Astyanax mexicanus: one gene and its partners. The protein of the gene in region 1 interacts with the protein of each later gene in a pairwise test. Links are inferred from orthologs where the notes say so. Each region holds a gene or a part of one and is shown in the gene's direction. Other genes may lie near its edges.

What was found.
Region 2: the proteins of uba3 (region 1) and impa2 interact in binary tests that used the Homo sapiens proteins (3 or more experiments, as listed by UniProt). The two-hybrid records come from large-scale screens. The link is inferred for Astyanax mexicanus from reciprocal best matches to the Homo sapiens genes UBA3 and IMPA2.
Region 3: the proteins of uba3 (region 1) and cpne2 interact in binary tests that used the Homo sapiens proteins (3 or more experiments, as listed by UniProt). The two-hybrid records come from large-scale screens. The link is inferred for Astyanax mexicanus from reciprocal best matches to the Homo sapiens genes UBA3 and CPNE2.

Annotation. Positions count from the first base shown.
Region 1 is NC_064420.1:33,208,356-33,216,148, forward strand, and holds the start of uba3 (NEDD8-activating enzyme E1 catalytic subunit), read left to right. Parts: upstream 1-4,789; 5' UTR 4,790-4,841; coding exon 4,842-4,861; intron 4,862-4,983; coding exon 4,984-5,022; exon of another isoform or gene 5,023-5,034; coding exon of another isoform or gene 5,035-5,054; intron 5,055-7,793. Other genes in the region: acidic mammalian chitinase, read right to left, coding at 329-453, 1,071-1,236, 1,323-1,379, 2,108-2,312, 2,406-2,435, 2,601-2,625. UniProt on the Homo sapiens protein: Catalytic subunit of the dimeric UBA3-NAE1 E1 enzyme. E1 activates NEDD8 by first adenylating its C-terminal glycine residue with ATP, thereafter linking this residue to the side chain of the catalytic cysteine, yielding a NEDD8-UBA3 thioester and free AMP.
Region 2 is NC_064413.1:44,505,841-44,512,890, forward strand, and holds the start of impa2 (inositol monophosphatase 2), read left to right. Parts: upstream 1-4,013; 5' UTR 4,014-4,215; coding exon 4,216-4,281; intron 4,282-7,003; coding exon 7,004-7,050. Other genes in the region: stk17a (serine/threonine-protein kinase 17A), read left to right, coding at 1,016-1,352. UniProt on the Homo sapiens protein: Phosphatase that can use myo-inositol monophosphates, myo-inositol 1,4-diphosphate, scyllo-inositol-1,4-diphosphate, glucose-1-phosphate, beta-glycerophosphate and 2'-AMP as substrates in vitro.
Region 3 is NC_064416.1:22,614,716-22,621,739, forward strand, and holds the start of cpne2 (copine-2), read left to right. Parts: upstream 1-3,968; 5' UTR 3,969-4,712; intron 4,713-7,024.

The DNA of each region.
Region 1 (7,793 bases):
GGACCACCAGTGGGCAGTGAAGTACCATCTAGTGGTCCATAGGCCCATTCTCAGGGGGAGGCAGTAATCAGTAGCGGGCTGGTAAAATCACTTTAAATTATAAGTATAGCTAAAGCAATTATTTTGTAAAAAATGTATAAGAAATGACAGTGTATCTTCTAAGCATTTGTTTATTCCATAATTCTCTTCCCTAGTATTTTTTTGTTCACCACTAGAGACATAAAATATGAAGGCACTGGCATTTCAGTTTAGGCTATTTATAAAACTGTTCTCTTCACTGGGTGAAGTATTTGACAATGATGAGACTAGGGGACAAGAATTGACTCACTGTCCAAGCTGAGGGATTTGATAGGCAGTCTCAACGGTGCCTCTGCCTGAGGAAACAGCAGCAGACATCAGGAGTCGAGCTCTGTTGGTCTGCTTGGCCTCTGCCTCAAAAGCAGCCCTCATCTCCTGTTCACCACCACAAACAGAAATGTACAGATGTTACAGAAATGAGCCCATATATACAAGAGATTCTAAATATTATATTATTATTACACGACACATAAACACATTACAATTTACAATAATAAGCACAGTCATTTAATACTTTAATAGCAGCAAATTCTTAATAACTGCTGTTCACAAATACTATTCCATTTTTAAAACAGAGATTTCAGTTTAAAATATGGTGCACTTTCACTTTCATTCAATGTAATAAGACTACTTACTAATTACTCTTTGTTATAAAGCAGTTGTTATGATTAGAAACAGATTTCTGTAGTTATTTGATTATTAAAGCACACTCCATTTTTGTTTAGATTGGACTGAAATTTAGAAGGACTGAAAATCAGTTAAAGAAATATTATAAAGCTGGATTTTAGCTGAGATAATTGGCTATTTGCTAAATAAAAATCTGACTATGAGTTTTCCCATTATCTAATTGAGTTAAGTTCATGGAAACATTACTGCAATACCCTATTGTTCTGCAGTAATATAATCTTTAAGTGTACATAAACGCAGTTACTGATTTCTTTGGGACATAATGCTTAAATTAAGGTAAATAAAATCAGATACATCTGACACACCTCCAGCAGAACAGAGTACAGTTGCTGATCTTGAGGTGGGCTTCCTCTGTTGGCTGGATACTCCCAGTCAATGTCCAACCCATCGAACTCATACTTCCTCAGAAAGGCAATGACAGAAGTGATGAAGGTCTGGCGGTTGGTGGAGGAGGCCACCATGTTAGAGAATCTAGCCGGAGTGATGAGAGGGAAATGAAGTTGACACATTGATATTCTGAGTGCTCTGCCCATGCTAAAATTAAATTAGGTTCTTACCCTGAGGAACCAAAGTTCCATCCACCAACTGACAGCAGAGTTTTCAGATCACCATTCCTGCAGAGATGAGAAAGAGAGAGAGATAAAAAAAAATCAGTGCTTGGCTTAAGGCAGCAATTTGCATGGATCTATTGGTAAGGATTTAGCCTCTTGAACCCTGGTTTTACTATTCATTTATTACCTTAAAATGGAACTCTGAGAGGTAAGACTGATTAAGCCTCTACATGGTTTAAAATGTATTATATAAACCAAGCATACTTTATTTACTGTTAATATTTACTAAGCATTGCTTTTTATAATTAATAACAGACTCAGTCCTTTTACATATAACATTACATTTTTGTTGTAGCTTTAAATGATTGTTCTCATTCTGTTCAGCTTTAGCTCAAGTATCAAAAGTCATGGGATAGCAGTATATACGTTGTTCATGAAGTGTTATTTTAGGGGACAACTTGGGAATGCCCACACCTGTAAAAGTTGTGAGGTGTTTTCTTATGAGTATGGTTGAACACTGGTTCGAACAAAGACAGATACAGGGTGCCACATCGATGGGACGTTCTTTACGATATCTCCTGTCGTACAAGTTTGAACATGTTAGTGTCTATGTTAAATATTGTATGTTGTTATAAATGATTTGACAATATTCTTTATAATTAAGTAAACAAAGTGTTGCATTCCAGGTTTAATTGGCTATAAACGGTAAACTGTAGTTAACACCTGCAATTTACTTCTGGTAAACACTTCTGAGTTCCATACTAGCAGCTCATCATATTCTCCACACTCACTTGTCCTTCAGGGCATTGAACTGGCTGTAGAGCTCCACATCATTCCATTCATAAGTGGCAATCTGGTAGCTGCTGGTCATGGTGGCGAAGGCGTAGAGGAGATGGGTACACAGGCATGGGTCGATGTCATTGGGCATGTAGATGGTAGGAGGTGGGCGATACTGTGCCCAGTTGGTGAAGTAGCATGATAAGATGTAGGCAGAGCCTGTCCAAAGCAACAAAATACATAAATCAGTTGGTTGTGTGTATTAGCTTCTGAGTAAAATCTGAAACCACAGCAATATAGCCAAGTACTTACCAAGCTGCATATGCAGCAGCAGGGCCAGCGCTGGATTCAGATAAGAGAAAGAAAGAAAAATGCAAGATTGTGATCTTTATTTCGTTAAACAAGTCATCTTGTGAAGTTTTTTCAAACACGTATTGTTTATGGCTTAAAGGAAAAACACTTTTTATTCTTTTTATTGAAACTCTTAATAATATCAAAGCCACTTACCTGAAACCAAGACTACCTTCCCCATTATTGCCTCGTACAAGGAGTAATGCACAGGCTCTGCTCTTTTATACATCATTTAGTTGGCCCGGGGCCTTTCATACCTTGTTACCGGTAGGAGGGAAATATTTGCAGTAGATTGTGATTCATTACTTAAGATTACCAAATCTTTTAATGTTCACAGTTACATAAGAACATATTCCTGTTTAGTCCTAATGTATGTACTTTTGTATGTACTGATTAACCCCAATGAATCTGACCCATATTTTTTATTTTCTTTTATTTAGGGTAAAGTGGTCTTTGTGATGTTTAAATAGTCCAAATGGATGATTCTACAAAATGAAATTAAAATGATTGTTTTGCTTATTTGGCCTTATCCTATGCGTACAGTGAACACACATAAACACTAGATATTAAACTCAGAAGACACACACACACGCAGACAGTGAGCACAAATGTCAGGAGCTGTGGGCAGCCACTGCTGTGGCACTCATGCAGGGAGCAGTGAGGTTTAAGGGCACAAAAGTGGCAGCCCTCTAAATTCAGAAATGTCAATACATTTAAAAACTTCTGTATTTCTCTGGTTTGGTTTTAATGCTGACTTATCGGAGCATTTGAGCATAGGTATGGATTTATTATGGATCTTCTTTTAAACAAAAAAACAAGAAAAATGTGTGCTAATACATGTATAAATATAAATGTTTGACTGTCTGTAAAAATAGCATACAGCAATGCATTTTTTTTAGCAAATATTAAGATATTTTAGGAATTAAACCTAATATTTTGCACTGAAAATGAAAAGGTAATGTTTCTGATTGTGTTTTATCGACATTAACAGATGAATGGGTGAATTCAGAATAGTTTATGTCTGAATAATAATTTAGTATAGTGCAATTAATAGTGCCTTTCTAAAGAAGGGGCAGTTAAATTTTTTTCTTAAATTTGTTTTCGTCTAATGAATTAATGATGTGATTAAGTGGTTAGTTGTACCAAAGTCATTAAGAAGGTCACCTCTGCTATGAATCGCTCTGTAAAGTCTGTGGAAGCAGTTACTGTAAACAAAGACAGTGATAAGAGGTGATTTGAAAGAGCAAGCTGTGATATTTTTATCCACTGTTGCCTTGGCAGCACATCAGAAAGTTAATGTGGAAAGTATGGGAAATAATGATAGTGAGCTGGCAAATTCAAATAAATCCGCATTTAGCCTGTTTACTGCTGAGAAAAATCTTTAACCAGTGGTCATAAAAGGTCCAATATGTATATTAAAAACAGATTCCTTGACTTGATGATAGTTTGTATTGGTAGTTTTTACATAATAACGAAGAACCATTTACTCAGACAAGCAACAGTTTGACCATTTCACATGGTTTTCTTTTTCTCAAGATAATTTTCTCTCCAATTTGGGAGGGACATTACCTGATTAGCATTTGTACTGTATGAACTGCCTTCAGCAGGGTTTCTTAAGAGCCTGCAAAAAAAAAAACATTACTGTACCGCTAGAGGGAACCCGCGAGTGAGTGCTTAATGATTTTACAGTGGTATCATATGAGTGGTATGGTAGGGTTTGCCCAAACCGTTTACATCCCACTGTAAATATTTTTTTATTTATTTTTATTTAATATCATTGTTTAAAATGTCGCACACAACAACTCATTTTGGATGGCAAATTAATTATACTTTAGAACACTATAGAGTACTTTATGTGCAATGGTATATAATTATAGCAACTGTAAGTTTACCAAGGGAACTCAAACTTGAAGTATATTTACTGTATAGACAGATAAACATCTTCATTCATTAAATAATTTATTAATTCATTTTTTTATTCATTTGCTCTCACTGTGTGAACGTTTCATTGATAGAAAGAGAGAAAGCAAGTGGGTAAGTGTGAGGTGAACTTCAGTATTTCACAGAGAGAGAGAGAGAGAGAGAGAGAGAGTGAGAGAAATAGAGAGAAAGGTAAACTTTAGTATTTCACAGAGAGAAAGAGAGAGAGAGAGAAATAGAGAGAAAGGTAAACTTCAGTATTTCACATAGAGAGAGAGGAGGGGGATTAAACTTCTGTATCTCAGGGAGAATGAGAGAAACAAAGATTGTAATTGAGAGAGAAAGAGTGTAAGTGAGAGAAGTCTGAAAGAGAGAGTGATAGAGAGAGAGTGTGAAAGAGAGGGAGGATGAGAGGATAAAGTTTGGGGGCGAGAGCGGTGCATTGTGGGAAGGCATGGCACGGTGAAGGCATAAAGTATGGCGGATGGGGAAGAGCCGTAAGTAGCGCTGATTGAAGCCCGTGTTTCTGTGTTTAGGGGTCGTGCTGTGATGATTTGTGATAACTGTGTGGTGCGATACGAGTGTGCTTGAACCTTCTTCTTTTATTCTCTCTTTTTAGGGAGAAGAAAAGAAGGAGAATAGAGGAGCTGACTGAGAAGTTAGTGATGAAATGCTAAGCGCTGGCTGCAGGTTTGAGTATTGCACAGCATAGGGAGTGAAAATTCATCCTTTCTGCTGTAAACAGAGCGCGTCCCTCCGCCGAGCAGACCGAGAATAGAGAGCGGAACAGTGTAAAACTGTCCTGAGACCGGAACAGGGAGGGAGCGAGAGCTGTTCAGAGCTCTGCTTCACTCATAGATACCACTTAGCTAACGCTAGGCTAGCCGGCTAACTGCTAACTAGCGCGTTTGACTGTCAGTATAGATAAACAAGGCCGGTGTTCCGTCAAGTTGTGCTACCCGTCTATATGTGCTACTTAGCAGCTCTGCGCATGCGCAAAACTGTTTTTACTGTTTTCATTTTTCCCCTAAAAGTGGGAAAAATTAACTCCGGTCCAGAAAGTAAACATCCATCCCAGTGTTTTGTACCAACTGCCTGGGTGGCTCTGCTGGGGAAATGGATTTTTACTTTCTTGACCTTGGTTACCCCCCTCTAGGTTTTTTTTTGTAATAATTTAGTTATTTTTAGTTACCATGTTTTTTAATCACATATATTGGCTTAACTTTATCCTGATACAGCGATTTAGGCTATGCAATTTGATCATACAGACACTTCTAATGCATGCAGCATGTTCTAATAATTTGTATGTTTACAGTTAAACATACACACTAGGGTAGCACGGTTTGACAGGGAAGTAGAACTTGACAGAACACCGGTGAGGAGGAAGAGTCTGTCATTTAAGGACTTTAAATTGGTGATGAATTTTCACAGACCGTACTGTAGCCAAACGTCAGCAGAAATGTGTAGAATTTCTTTTAATAAATCAATGTCCGTTCCTGTTTTGGTCGCCTGAGTCCATAAACAAATAAGCTAAGCTAGCTATAGCTGTCTGTTAGTGACAGCAGCTAGCTAGCTAACCGGTTTAGTTAAGCTAAGCTACAGTAATCAGGGTGTAGTGTTGAATTTATTACGAATTTTATCTTAATTTCGAGTGTGTTTGTTTATAGACTCCTGTAATACGCAGAGCAAAACGTTTCTAGTGGCTTTGTATCTAAAGTGGTGATTACAAAGTGTTCTGCGCAATAAACTTAATTATTACAAAAAGTATTTGAGGTATTGTTGTCATTTAAAGTCCGTTTTGTTCCACTGCTATAGTTACAGTACCTGTCAAAAGCTTGGACCCATATTTTCTCATTCTCTGTGTTTTCTTTCTGTTTCTATTTTTTTTTACATTGTAAATTTATCATTGAAGACATTACAGCTATACAGAGCTATACACACAGCTCTGGAAAAAATGAAGAGACCACTTCAGTTTCTGAATCAGTTTGAGTAAAATTAGCATTGTGGTTTTATTCTTTAAACTACGGACAATATTTATTCTTAATTCCAAATAAAAAATATTGTCATTTACAGCATTTATTTGCAGAAAATGAGAAATGGCTGAAATAACAAAAAAGATGCAGTTCTCAGACCTCAAATAATGCAAAGAAAACAAGTTCTTAGTCATAAAGTTTTCAAAGATTTCAAAAATCATTATTTGGTGGAATAACCCTCGTTTTTAATCACAGTTTTCATGCATCTTGGCATGTTCTCCTCCACATGTCTTACACGCTGCTTTTGGATAACCTTATGCCACTCCTGGTGCAATAATTCAAGCAGTTCACCTTGGTTTATCCATCTTCCTCTTGATTATATTCCAGAGGTTTTCAATTTGGTAAAATCAAAGAAACTCATCATTTTTAAGTGGTCTCTTATTTATTTTACAGAGCTTTATGTGTTTTTTATACTTTACAATTTTCCAAGTAGCCACATTAATTGTGATGACAGATTTTTACACACTCTTGGTATTTTAATCTTAGTGTCTTCATGAGTAGAGTTACTTGAGAGTTTTTTCTGCATCTCTTTCTTTATGCTGTGAAGCTCCAGCTCATCACAAATTACCCATTACAGTAGGGTTTAGGTCAGGGGATTGGGGAGGACAAACATTTTTTTTTATCGAATTATATATATGTTCCATAATTTTTGTTTTTTTTTATTAATCAATAATGTAGAAACTAAAAACAACAAAAAAATATAAAATAAAGAAAAAGATGAATGAGAAGGTGTGTACAACCTTTTGACTGGTGCTGTGTATGTCCATATATCAGTCCATAATAATGCTTTAACACCCTTTTTTAGGGCACTAAACATTTAATGATTAAAAAATGTAAATTAAATGTGAACATTTTATCTATCGAGGTCAGCAAAAAAAAACTGCAGCGATGTCCATGTGTTGTACGATTTAGTTGATAATTATTGTGACAGGCCTAGTGACAGGCGAAACTGTGTGTAAATAGGTTGATTGGAAGTCACATATTACAACAGTAAAAATATACTAAATAACAAACACATCATAACATCATGACCACAATTTTTAATTATGTATATAGATATAAAGGAGATAAATCAGATAAAGTAACAAAATATCTAAAATAAAAATAAGTGCAGTAATGTGGCGGTGTGGGGTACAGTAACACCAGTGGACATGTACTCACACCAAAAACAAAGTATGCCATATACACCTGTGAGCTGTAAAGCTAGCTACATATCTACAGTTAGAATCACAATTAAAATGTTGATAAACAATTTTAAAGTGGTTAAACACTTATGCAAAAAGTCATAATTTCAGTTTCAGCTCCCCTGAAATCCAAAAAATAAACTCAAGATTGATTGTGTGTTTAATCTACTAATATATTCTGCAGATATGTGATATTTATTTATTATTATATT
Region 2 (7,050 bases), on another chromosome or scaffold:
AGTTTAAATATGGTCTGATAGTGGGTGCCAGATAAATGGGATATTCCAATTCCAAACAGTGTCACATTTGTACCAGGAATACATCAAAGAATAAGGCATTTCTGCCCACAGTGGACAAAGCAGACTCTTCCATAAACACATCCACATTCCATGCATAAGTACCAATCTCTAAGTTGACATCATGTTAAAAAAAATAAATAAATAAATAAATATATAAATTATGCGTGGCCACAACTTATTTAGGCATAGGAACAAGATCCTAATTTGTTCGAACGAGATAATTATGGCATGTGAATGAGATAAATAAGTAATGGCCACGATTTATTATGGCACGGGAATGAGAATTTAAATGTGGCCAGAGAATAATAAAGCTTGCTTTTCTGTAAATTAATATCCATGAAGAAAACTGAATATTACATCAAAGCTCCAATCCAAGGATAATCTTTTGTAAGAAAATGGAGAGTGAACTGGTTTCTTTTTATTTTCGTCTCTAAATGAATTATGGTGATATTTTGGAGTCTCTTGCAGTGAGACATGGCATATTTTTAAGTAAAAATCACTTTATTCGCACTCTAAAAGCTGACAGGCTCAGATGCAGACAGCGTGCAGGCCCGTTTTACTTCCAGGCAGTCATATTGTTATCTCGTTCCCACGCATTAGGATCTCGTTCCCACACCTTAATTTTCTCATTCCCATGCCTTAGTAATTTGTGGCCATGCATTATTTTATTTTAACATAATGTCACCTTAGGGGCTCCATACATGAGGTCTAACTGTGTCTTAGACCGGCTCCTGAAGTGTATCTGTTATGAATGTGTGTTCAGTGTGCTTAGTATGCATTTTTATGTAATTTGGCATGATAACATTGTAGTCCTGATACTTAGGATGTCTTTCTCCAAGTGGCTTAAGTTATACAAGGCCTATGCCACAGTAACTGTACAGTTTTTAACAGATGTCTGCAGACAGCACAAGTGTACCGGTATGTGTAATTCTTTAATAATTCTTTGTTTGCACAGGGGCCGTGCCACTGCTGAGGAGTGCCTGAAACACCAGTGGCTTCAGACACAGGAGAAAAATTCTGTGGAGGAGCCAGCGATGCAGAAAAGTGCCTCCACCTCAGTCTCAGAGCCAGCCAGCCCAGAGATCTCCTCCCAGCAGAGAACAGAAGAGGAGGAGGAGGATGGAAGAGTGACGGAGGAGCTCATTGTGATGGCCGCTTATACTCTGGGTCAGTGTCGGCAGTCCTCAGACAAGGAGAGTCTGACCCCGGACCAGAAGGCCATCTCCAAGCGATTCAAATTCGAAGAGCCCTTCCCTGCCCTCCAGGAAGTGCCCGGAGAATTCATCTACTGAACCACGTGTTGGCCATCCAGCCGCTAAGCTCCAACTAACGCCCGCACTTCAGACGAGAACGTCTTTTCCTTTCTACTTTAACCCACCTCATTGTTTGACCCTGTAAGCCAAAATGTGTATTCTTTGTTTGTTTATTTTATTATTATTTTATATCTAATGTTTGTGCTGCTTCACTCATACACAGTTCTGTAACTGAAGACTAAGCCTTGCTGTGGTACTCTGGTTCTTCTCCCCATTTTCCCTTTTGCTTTTTTCCTTTTGGTGCCATGCTTGCAATTGTATGAAAATGTGGGCCATGAACTGAATCTCATCTCATTTATCTTTCCCTCTGTTTTTTTTGTTGCATTTCCTATATTTTCATCTTTGGTTACAACTTTTGTAAACATAAATATTGTTGTTTGTGCAGGGGGAGGGTGGGGCTAAAGAAATTATATGTAAATGGAATAAATTTTAAGAGTTGTGTCTATACTTTTTAAAAGCCATTTATGTGTTTGCAGCTCGTCCAGTGTGATTGTGATTGTCAGGCCAACCCTTTTTATAAAAAGCCCTTTAGTTATGATTGTAAATTGATGATAGGTCAGAGTATATCTTTTAAATGATGACACATTTGAAAGTTAACTGTCCTGATATTGTAAATAAAGTTCCTCTCCAAGCTGTCTGTGGATGTTAATTGGGAACACTGGGAAAACCAAATGCAGGACCTACATGGACCAGGCCACCTGTCTCCAATAGAATAAAGCAAAGCAGGCAATCATATTAGATTATTCTTTATGGCTAATAGGTGGAATTAAGCCTTCATATCTAAATGCCACCTTAGAACCCACCTCTTCCTCAGTTCTTGACCATCCAAGTTGTCAATCCAATCCAGTGATTTTCTGGACCCCTAAGCAGTCTTTTATTTAGGCCATGGCTGTGTCCCAAACAAGACATTGTAGTGCTCACTTCTCATACAAATTTTACCAGCCAGCATGAAGCTCCGTTTAACTCAGCATTATAAAAGTCACATCACAGGGCATACTTTACCAGATGCCCAAGAGGTGGCAGTGTTGATGCTTTAAATTTCTAATCAAAATAAACTTACTCTGTACTTGAATTGTAGAACAAATGTATTCTTACCTATTTTTAAAAATATATATATAAATACTTATTCACCTATATAAAAAAACTGATTTTTCCCAACCGAAGAATTGTATGATTTTCACAATAACCTGTATGTAATGTGCTTCTTAGTTTAAAACTACAGTGAGGTCCGTAGTGCTGGAGAAATACTGCCCCTGTGTGGACATTATTACTCGATACAACACTGATCTTTAGCCACAGTCCTTCAAAATGTGCTTCATGGTTTTATATAAACGAAAGGGAGCAACATTTATTTCCCAGCTTATTTCATGCTAGCTGAGATTTTCTTTCTTCATTTTTTTATCAATTTATTTTATGATTAAATATTTCAAGAATTCTTTAAATACTTTCTTTTAAAATTAGTACAATTTACACAAAAAACGACCTGTTCATCCAAGAGTGATATAAAATAAAGTAACATAATGATATATATATATCATTATGTATATATCATCATATTATATATATATAATATGATTATATATATATATATATCATCAAATTATATATATATATATAATATATATATATATTTGTGCTTTAAATTGTTACGTTAGCAGTGGGTGGGGTGAAACACTTATTTAGTACTTGCAACATGGTTATGGCTATTATAATAATAATTATTATTATTATTGTTTGTATTAATATTATAAACTAATTACTTACCTAGTACATTGGAAGCAAAGTAGACAGCTTATTTTTAAACCACCGAAAAAAATCCATATTGTGATAACAGCAGTATTATTTTTTCTTCAAAGCATTCTATTCTGTTTTGCGTTTGTTTTGCTATTTTTTGTAAAGTTCTAAGGGTATCTTAACAGGAGCCGAAAAGGTAAAGTAAGGAATTTCCTTTGTTGTTGTTTTTAATCTAGAGGTTTATTCATAGCCAAAATGTAGCAAAACCCACATATAAAAATATATATAATAAATTAAAAATTCAATTAAATATAAATAACTGTGTTTAACTGTTCTTTATAAAAAAATATATATTGTTATATATTCTGTAATATTATATAATATAATCACAAGCTGTCCTCAGACCTCAAAGTAAACATACATACAGCTCTGGAAAAAAAATCCACTTCATTTTCTGAATCAGTTTCTCTGATTATGTTTGACTAAAATGAACATTGTTGTTTTATTCTATAAACTACAGACAACATTTCTTCCAAATTCAAAATAAAAATATCGTCATCTAATGTCATATTGTCATTGATTTGCAGAAGGTTTAAGATTTAAGAAATCAATATTCGGTGGAATAACCCTGTATTTTTAATCACAGTTTTCATGTATCTTGGCATGTTCTCCTCCACCAGTCTAACACACTGCTTTTGGATAGCGGTTCAGCTTGATTTGATGGCTTGTGTTCATTCATCTTCCTCCTGATTATATTCCAGAGGTTTTCAATTTGGTAAAATCAGAGAAACTGATCATTTTAAAGTGGTATCCTATTTCCAGAGCTGTTATGTAGGATTTGTGGGGTGTGGGCCCTTTAAATGTCACTGTGAGGATCAGCTCTGGATCTAAATGTGCCGCTCGGACAGATCTGACAGCCTGCGCGCGCAGGTCAGGCCGCCCGGACAGCGGCAGCAGCAGCGGGCTACATCCACCCATGTCGGAGCTTTCCGCCCGGAGACTCTCACTGCGGATCCGGGAAGCCAGACACCAGCGACGGCTTACCATGAGCAGCCCGCGCGGTCTGCGCTGAGCCTTCCCCCGCTCTCCTCCACTGAGACCCGGGAGCATGGAGGCGGAGAGCTGGGCCGAGTGTCTGGAGCTGGCCGTGCGGATCGCTCGCTCTGCGGGGCAGGTATGAGTGAGTGTGGGAGTGATGGCGGGGGAGCTCAGCTGCGTTAGCCGGGCTGTGTGCACTGTTAGCCGCGGAGAGTGGAGAGGCCAGCGGGGTTAGTGATGTGGGTGTAAACACGCTGTCAGTGATTAGGCTGCTGAAGTGGAGCGTTAGTAATTCAGTGAAGTCAGTTTATCTTTCACAGAGTTAATAATACAATAAAACATACGGATATATATATAGAGAGAGAGCACATAAACATTACGAGTTTATTTGGTTTTACCTAAACCTCTGGAATATAATCAAGAGGAAGATGATTACTTTTTGCAATTTATGCATCAGGAGTGGCATAAAGTTATCCAAAAGCAGTGTGTAAGACTGGTGGAGGAGAACATGCCAAGATGTATGAAAACTGTTATTACAAAACCAGGGTTATTCCACCAAATATTGATTTCTGAACTCTTTTTTGTTATTTTGACCATTTCTAATTTTCTGCAAATAAATACTCTAAATGACAATATTTCTTATTTAGAATTTGGTAGAAATGTTGTCAGTAGTTTGTCAATGTTCATTTGACTCAAACATATACCTATAAATAGCAAAATCAGAGAAACTGATTCAGAAACTAAAGTGATCTCTTAATTTTCTCCAGAGCTGTATACTAGTGCATCTAAAGATCTAATATCTAATATCATTGAAAAGTTACTTTATTTCAGTGATTTGGTTTAAAATGTGAAATTCATTTATTATATAGATGTATTACACACAGAGTAATCTATTTTTTAAGTGTTTAAGTGTATTTCTTTTAATGTTGATGATTATCGCTTAAAGCCAATGAAACCCCAATCCAACTGGTACTTTTGGCAGTGTGGGCAGTGTGTCAAGGCCTGCTGGAAAATGAAATCCACATTGCTATAAAAGTTGTCAGTAGAGGGAAAAATGGAATTCTGTAAGATTTTCCAGGAAAACACTGCACTGACTTTAGACTTGATAAAACACAGTGGACCAGCACCAGCAGATGACTGGTGTTGATGATTCTCCAAACCATCACTGACCATCAATCAATACATTTTGCATTTCATTTGTAAATCAAGAGACCAGAGTCTGGAGGAAGAGTGTAGAGACACACAGTCCAAGCTGCTTGAGGTCTAGTGTGAAGTTTCAACAATCAGTGATGGTTTGGAGAGACATGTCATCTGCTGGTGTTGATCCACTGTGTTATAACCTGGAACAGAAAAGTGCTTCTTCTTCCCTCAGTGTTCTGTGTGGTTCTGGTATTTAAGCAGTGTATTATAAGAAGTGTAAAGTGTTACAGTGGGCTGCTGCTCGAGATAAGTCTGCATTACTGACCTTTTCCGTGTGGCTAGCCTACTGATATAAATAAAACTGATAAATCACACACAGTACACACACAGTAAAGTGCCTACGAATGTGCCAGTAAAACTTGGGCACCCTTCAAATATAACAATGATACAAATATACTCTTTACACTTAATAATCAACCAGGTACCTAAGCACCTAAGCTACCCACCCGGGATACCATAGTAACTTCCGAGCAGTTACATTGCCACACTAAACCACCCACCTAGTGTTTTTTGAACTCCATAGCAACCATCTGGGATACCATAACAACAACGTAGTAACTAGTAAACAACACTATAGCAACCACTTGCTACACCATGGGAATCACTTAGTAATTACTTTACAACATCATAGAAACAACCTGGGATACCTTAGCAACCACCTAGTAACAACTAAAAAACACTATAGCAACCAACTGGTTTACCATAGGAATCACTTAGCAACACCATATAATCACCTAGGATAACATAACAACCACGTAGTAACTACTAAACCTACTAAATAACACTATAGCAGCCATCTGGTTTACCGTAGGGATCACTTAGCAATCACTTAACAACACCGAAGAAACCACATGGGATACCTTATCAATCCCCCAGTAAATACTAAACTACATAGTAGCAACTCCTTAGGACAAAAACAGACAATTTAGTGACATGATAGCAAGACCATAGAAGCAGCTTTGGATACCATAGTAACCATTCATGAATACACTTAATTCCAAAATAAACTACTGATATTTCTACAAACCTATATGTCAAATTTATTATTCTGTTTAAATTACTTCAAGTTCTTCTATTGCTCGATAATTCGCTCTGAAACCACTCATTTACTTTTTGGGTGGGACACAGGATCAATATTGTATATTAATATGTATCTCACCCCACAATTTGAGTTACTAATGTTACTGCTTCATTACTCTAAGTGGTGGCACTAATCAAGTGAATAGGTGAACCTGTGATGAATGTTAATTGTGAAATTTTGTGTGAAACGGACACAGATAAATCCATAGTTCCTGGTATTTTATTTATTAGGAGTATATTTTCCTCTTCAGTAACACAGATTGGTGAATTGTCTTGTGATATAATCAATCAAGTAACGTGATATAATCATTGTCATGGGCAAAGTGTCATGATAATATCTTATCGTGTGATGCCCTAAGATTCTCTACTTTTGATCTAGTTAGTATTCAGTAGTATTTAGATTTGGGCCCTGAATTAATAATGTGCTTCTCTCTCTCTCTCTCTCTCTCTCTCTCTCTCTCTCTCTCTCTCTCTCTCTCTCTCTCTCTCTCTCTCTCTCTCTCTCTCTCTCTCTCTCTCTCTCTCTCTCTCTGTCTCTCTCTCTCTCTCTCTGTCTCTCTGTCTCTCTCTTTCATTAGATGGTTCAGGAAGCTGTGAAACAGGAGAAGAGAGTGAGCAGTAAGAG
Region 3 (7,024 bases), on another chromosome or scaffold:
TTTATTGAGTGTTTTATTTTTGATGTATTAACAGGTAAACAGTTCCCATTAGTTACATAGCATAGCATCACATTCCTATATTTTTTGCACTGTAACAAAAACAGAGTAATACATCAGCACATTTGTTTACTCAGTTGGTCACATTAAAAAAATGTCCCCTTGCTAAAAAGACATGTAAGCTCTATTCCATGGAGTTAATATAAATAAAATAACTTTGATAGGCCGTTGTTTTGCATGATTTTTATGAATTGTAATGTGAGCTGGCTGCATGAAACACATTTTTTAATAATGTAATAAAATACTGAGAGACAAAAATTCTGTTCTTTGATTACATTATTTTACATACACTGGTTCTGATTCTCTTTACTTGTACATAATTATATAAACTGGATAACTGATACAAATATAATAATATACAGGTGCTGGTCAACGAATTAGAATAATTTGAAATAGTGCAATCATGAAATTCTTTGAATGCATTTTTTTGTGCAGAAAGCAAATCAGGTGTTCACCGCACCTGTCCTACTCCTTAGACTAATCACAGAACTCGTTACCTGGAAAAAAATTTGCTCAGCTGAGCTTTCCAAAAGGCCCATTTAGGCCATTTAACTGTGACACTGTTGTTTTATTGAATTAGAATAATGGAGAAACCGTTTCATTGAATAAGAATAATTTTTATTATAATTACAATCATCACTTTCTCAGTATTTTGTGGCTGCCCCCTTGGCTTGTATGACTGCTTGAAGTCTCCGCGGCATCGATTTGACCAGCTTGTCGCAAGTTTCCGCACTCACAGCTTCCCAGGCAGTGGCGATGTTCTGCTTCAGTTGGTCCAGCGTAGTAGGCTTTCTGTCGCGAATTTTCCGCTTGACGATGGCCCAAAGGTTTTCAATGACATTGAGGTCAGGCGAGTTGGCCGGCCATGCCAAAACTTCAAGCTGTTTTTTAGTGAACCAATCTTTGGTCGACTTTGCCGCATGAGCCGGTGCAAGATCCTGTTGAAATATGAAGTCTTCTTCGCCGAACTGTTCCTCAACAGTCGGAATCAGGAACGTTTCCAGAACATCTTGATATACGGCAGCATTGACAGTCTTCTTGAGGAAGCAGAGTTTCCCTACACCTCGAGCGGACATGCATCCCCAGACCATAACGCTCTGGGGAAACTTGACGGATCTTTTCACGCACTCGTGGTTGTAGGTTTCGCCACCACGACGCCAGACACGAGGACCTTGGTCACCGAAGGAGATGCAGAAGCGTGATTCGTCACTGAAGACCACTTTCTGCCAGTCTTCAGCAGTCCACTCGCCGTGTTCTTTGGCCCACTTCAGCAGTTTCTCCATTTGTTTCTTGTTCAGCATCGGTTTTACTGCTGGAACGCGAGATTTGAAGCCGAGTTCGCGCAGAAGACGGTAAGTGGTTGATCTGGAGACGTCAGCGCCGGTCTGCTTGTTCCACAAGTCGGTGAGCTCGGAAGTGGACTTGAACCGGTTGCTGACTGCAATCTTTCTCAGCTGCTTGTTGTCGTGAGCAGAAGTTTTTCGGACGCCGGAACAGTTGGTGCGCTTGCTGCAGTTTTTCTTGAGAGCTTTGCAGACGGAAGACTGGCTGATGCCGAGCTGCTCAGCAATTTTAGTTTGGGTCAAGCCTTGTTGGCGAAGGGCTTGAATTTGAGCCACTATTCCGGTTGAGAGGTCGCGCTGCTTACCCATGATTGATTTTACAACTTAGAAATTCTACTCAACCCTGACTTTATACTGCACAGTGAACACTCTTCACAGAAAACAAAAATTCGAGCATTTATTCTAATTCAATGAAACGGTTTCTCCATTATTCTAATTCAATAAAACAACAGTGTCACAGTTAAATGGCCTAAATGGGCCTTTTGGAAAGCTCAGCTGAGCAAATTTTTTTCCAGGTAACGAGTTCTGTGATTAGTCTAACGAGTAGGACAGGTGCAGTGAACACCTGATTTGCTTTCTGCACAAAAAATGCATTCAAAGAATTTCATGATTGCACTATTTCAAATTATTCTAATTCGTTGACCAGCACCTGTATTTAACGAATATCACTTTTTTCAGGGTAGTGATGCTGGTCCACCATCATGGATGAGCTGGCCAACCAACATGCTGGTCATACTGGTGGTCTAGCTTGGTCAGGTTGTCCATGCTTGTAGACCACCTAAACCATCAAACTAAAATTAAAACGCTACTATTCTGGTGAAGAACTAAATTTGGTCAACATGAGGTGATCAGGCTATTTTTTTGGCTGGGTAGTATTCAGCTATTAACATTTTCAGATATTTTATAGCCTGTGTTTTTAAGAGCCCAAACCCAGTTCTTAATATTGATTGAAAATCTTAAAGTAATTCTTCAAATTAATATGTTAATATTTTAAGTTAAACTCTTGATGTAACAACAATGGTTAAACATAAGTACAACAATTTCATACCTTCTAGTTTACCATTTTGTTTTATATATAGTAGTTATGTGGATTGTAAAACATTAAATTGAAGATTTTGGGAAAATGCTTAAAACAGAGCTGTTGAGGCTAAAATACACTTTTAAATAGATGAAGTGTGATCTGAAGCATTAACACAGCACATCTACATTCTAGAAATAATAATGTTCAGTGTGTGCTACTTAGGGGCTTCATGAGTTTGAGTTGATATATTTATATATATATATATATATATATATATATATATATATATATATATATATATATATATATATATATATATATATATATATATAAATTTCAAGGTTTCTTCCCATTTTCACCCCAATTAACCCGGCCAGTTATCCAACTCACTCATTAGGACTTCCCCTATCACTAGTGATACACCAACAGGGGCTTCATGAGTTTAAATGAAGGACAGTGCGCTTTAGGGAACTTCACACAGACTTTTAAAAGGTCTGTGGCTATTTTGGGTTGAGTGAAAATTGCATGTACACACCATATACAGTATAATACAGTGGTAAACACACATAACACGTGTACAGATTCTTTACAGCAGCTGATTGTCCAGTAATGAATAATTGCCCGCAAGGTGGCAGCAGAGGCGCGTGAGAACGTGTACTGTACATTTATTTATATTTTTAAAATTACGTCTTTTTAGTTTTACATTATTGTGTTGAATAATTGTATCGATACGTTGTTGTTTGTTGTCCTTCTGTGCGTCAAAGTAATTATTAAATCATAGACTTGAGTGTTGATATTAATTAGAATGAGGTGAAACCTGTTGTTGAATTCTGAGGTCTGACTTTACTAATCGAGTTAATAACGATACAATTGTAGCGTCATACTAGCTGACCTTACCTGTAGCGGTCATGTTTACTAGGTTAGTTAACTCTAAGTAGCTAATGTTTACTTTTATAGAGGAGCATTGTTCACCTGCAGTGAATAATTGTGTTGGTGAACAACAGGTGGTTTCAACACCATGTATTTTATCTTGGTTGTTCTTTTCTCTTTAACCAAACGCGTACACACCATAAAAAACAGGTTCTTTAGTGATAAATCTGCAGATGGTCCACTCCGCTCTGGTCTAGTGTGACCGGGGGCTGTGTCTGCCTGCCTGGGCTCAGCTTCGGCAGCAGTGATGTGTTGTGTCGAGTTGTGCTACCCATCAAAATGTGCTTCTTAATACCAGTGCGCATGCCCACATTTATTTTATAGTTCCATGTGTTTTGTGGTAGTTCTACTAAATTTTACCTGGGTGCATATTTAACATCCTTAACCCCTCCTCTGTCATTATGTCATTATTAGATTTTATCTAAGTGTAAATGGCATTAATAATAATAATAATAATAATAATAATAATAATAATAATAATAATAATAATAATCGAGCAAAAATTACAAGATATAATCTCGCCTATTCCCTTTTAACTGTATTCTGATTTTTGATTCAGGGTTATTAAATAAAGTGCTTTTTCAGGATTTTTTTTACAATTAAATATTAAATACACCATACCTGTCAAGTTTTGGATTGATGTTGTGATCAATAGTATTTTCTGCAGTCAGAAGGCGTATGTATAATATTATACATATGTACATAGTATGTATGAGTATGTATCATCATAGTATGATGTTTTTTTTTAGCAGAAATGCCCTTTCTCTGTTTGCATCCATCCATCCGTCATTAGTGACATTCCAGTTGTGAGAGGCACAGGAATGTTTTTTATTTTAATTATAATGTAATACAAGAAATTTACAGGAAATGCTAATACGGGAGGACGGCGGGAAAGAGGGGTTAAATGTGGTAGACCAAAACGGGATACTTAACAAGATATGAAATACACACGGGATAGCACGGTTTGACAGGGCAGCAGAAATCGACAGAACACCGGACGGAGCTGTTAGGAGCCTTGTTAACTAAACTATACTGTGGGGTGGCGTGTGTTTGTGTGTGAGAGAGAGTGTGCTCTGAGTGAGTCTCTGTCAGTGTGTGTGTGAGTGTGTGTAAGCTGCGGGTGGAGACTGCCATGGTTCACAGGGAGCCCGCCCAGCCTCAGCCTCACTGCTGGCTGCTGGAGTGACCCGCCCGCCTGCCAGCAGCAGCAGCAGCAGAGCAACGTGTCACCGCCTCGGTCCGCTCCGGACCCACAGCCCGAACTCACACACAGCGGCTCCGCGGAGAAGCGCTGCTGCGGAACTGACGCTCCAGAAAAAAGTAGCCACGCGAAGAAAAGCCTGAGCCACCGCTTTTGAGAGGTGAGTGGTGGGTTTCTGAAGTAACAGAGAAGACTACAAATCTGTTAAATATAACGTTAATGGGTTCAACAGTTAGTTTACCTAGTATGGCTTCGTTTGTTTATTGTTATTCTTGGTCGTTCCTACTCAAAATAGTCAATGAAAACAGACCAGAAATAGAAAAGTGGTCCTTTCAGTCTGACAAGCTTGTTTTTATAGAAACTGAAAAACAGAAACAAGCCGCTGTTTATTATATTTTAGCTAAGTTACCTAGCTATGTAACATTATCTATCATGCAGTCTTCTCTTAGCTCTTTATTGAATAACTACAGCTCTGGAAAAAATAAAGAGTCCACTTTAGTTTCTGAATCAGTTCCGCTGATTTTGCTTTTTATAGGTATATGTTTAAGTAAAATGAACATTGTTGTTATATTCTATAAACTACACAACTACAGACAACATTTCTCCCAAATTCCAAATAAGAACATTGTCATTTAGAGCATTTATTTGCAGAAAATGAAAAATGGGTGAAATAAAAAAGATGCAGAGCTTTCAGACCTCAGATAATACAAATGCAAGATAATGCAAAAAACAAGTTCATATTTAAAAAAAAATGTAAGAGTTCAGAAATCAATATTTGGTGGAATAACCCTGATAACAGTTTTCAGGCATCTTGGCATGTTCTCCTCCACCAGTCTTGCACACTGCTTTTGGATAACTTCAGATTGGTTGGTGATCACCCATCTTCCTCTTGATTATATTCCAAAGGTTCTTAATCATGATTAGTGGTCTCCTATTTTTTTCCAGAGCTGTAGTTTTGCTCTGAGGCATCAAACTAAATGTCCAATACAATGAGGCAATTAAGTGGTTCATCATAAGTAATAAAAATATGTATATGTGCTAGACTGTGTCAAGAAGTAACCTGTATGTAGCTGTTTATATTCTTAATATATGCTATATTTGTTTTTAGTCATTGCCTTGTGCAGTTAGACCACTTTTGAATAGAATAACCATGATAAAGCAGTGGTTCTCATTACACTATACTTACATAGTGTAAGTAATATAAGTTAGGGCTCTGTAATATTGTACATTTAATCTCATTATTCTTCAAACATATGAGCGATTATGATTTAGATTTTTAGTTCTTACATATCTTTGGTTTTTTAGTTTGTAAACAAACAGCACCATTTAAAGTGATATACAATGTGGTGTTTTCTTTACATTTATTTTAACCATGTTTGTTATCTTTTTTTTCATTATCATTCATGATAAATAGTAAGCAGCCCCCTATTGAACACAGTGCAAACATAACATGCTTGTATTTCAGTTAAAGAAAAGTGTAACATTTGAAAATCACTGCCACATAAAAGCAAATTTCTATGTGAAGATGTACAGTCTCTATTATCTCATTTTTAAAAATAAGAAACAATAATTCAGTGCATTAAATTGATTTGATTTACCTCCTAGTCCTATTCTAGGTACTATACGTTGTTTTTTCCCAAACTCCAACCTCTGCCACACTGACCTATTTATGTCCACTTGCAGCTCTGCCCCTCAGCAGCCTGCTATGCTTTGCTCATGTGGTTTAGTGGTTAGTGGTCTTTTGGGGTCTGTGTGAAGGATGTGCAGCATAAACACAACAATACTGGAGACAAAGAATTGCCTCAAGTGCTAAATAGTCTTTTCCACTTCGAATATTTTCAGCTGTGCATAAGACAGTTCATGCCTTTCGGCTGCTCCATCTTCACAGTTGGACTAAAAATAATCCAAACATCCTAAAGAGGGCTTCAAGTGCAGTGTGCTTTAAAAATCAAGTGGTCCTATTGGTGGGGGTTAAAATAACTGTTATTACAAAGGAGGTGAGAAGGTGTTATTAGCAATGGGGTCTAATAGTCAAATAGTCAAAGGTCCACATGGTGTTTGAATATAATCGATTTGATTTGACCATTTTCAGTTCTACTAGATTGGACTGGCATAAATGAATATATATGTGTATGTGTGCAATGTAGTTGTACACATTGTACAAATTAGCGAAAACGCATCTAAATATTGTCACATAAGGTGACATGTGAGAGACCCTCTTAAAAATTAAGAGATGTAACCTATTGGTGGTACAGTACTGCATATAGATATTGTATTAAACCCAAACTGACTTGTCTTAAATTTAGGAATGCACACAGCACCTGAAATTATTTGTATGAAAATGGCATATCCAAACACTAAAAATGACTTTCAATGTTTGGATGTATTATCGTGAAAAAACAATCAAAGCAATAATGCTTTCTTTAAAAAAGAAAACAAGACAAAAATACATTAAGGCTATTCAATGTATGC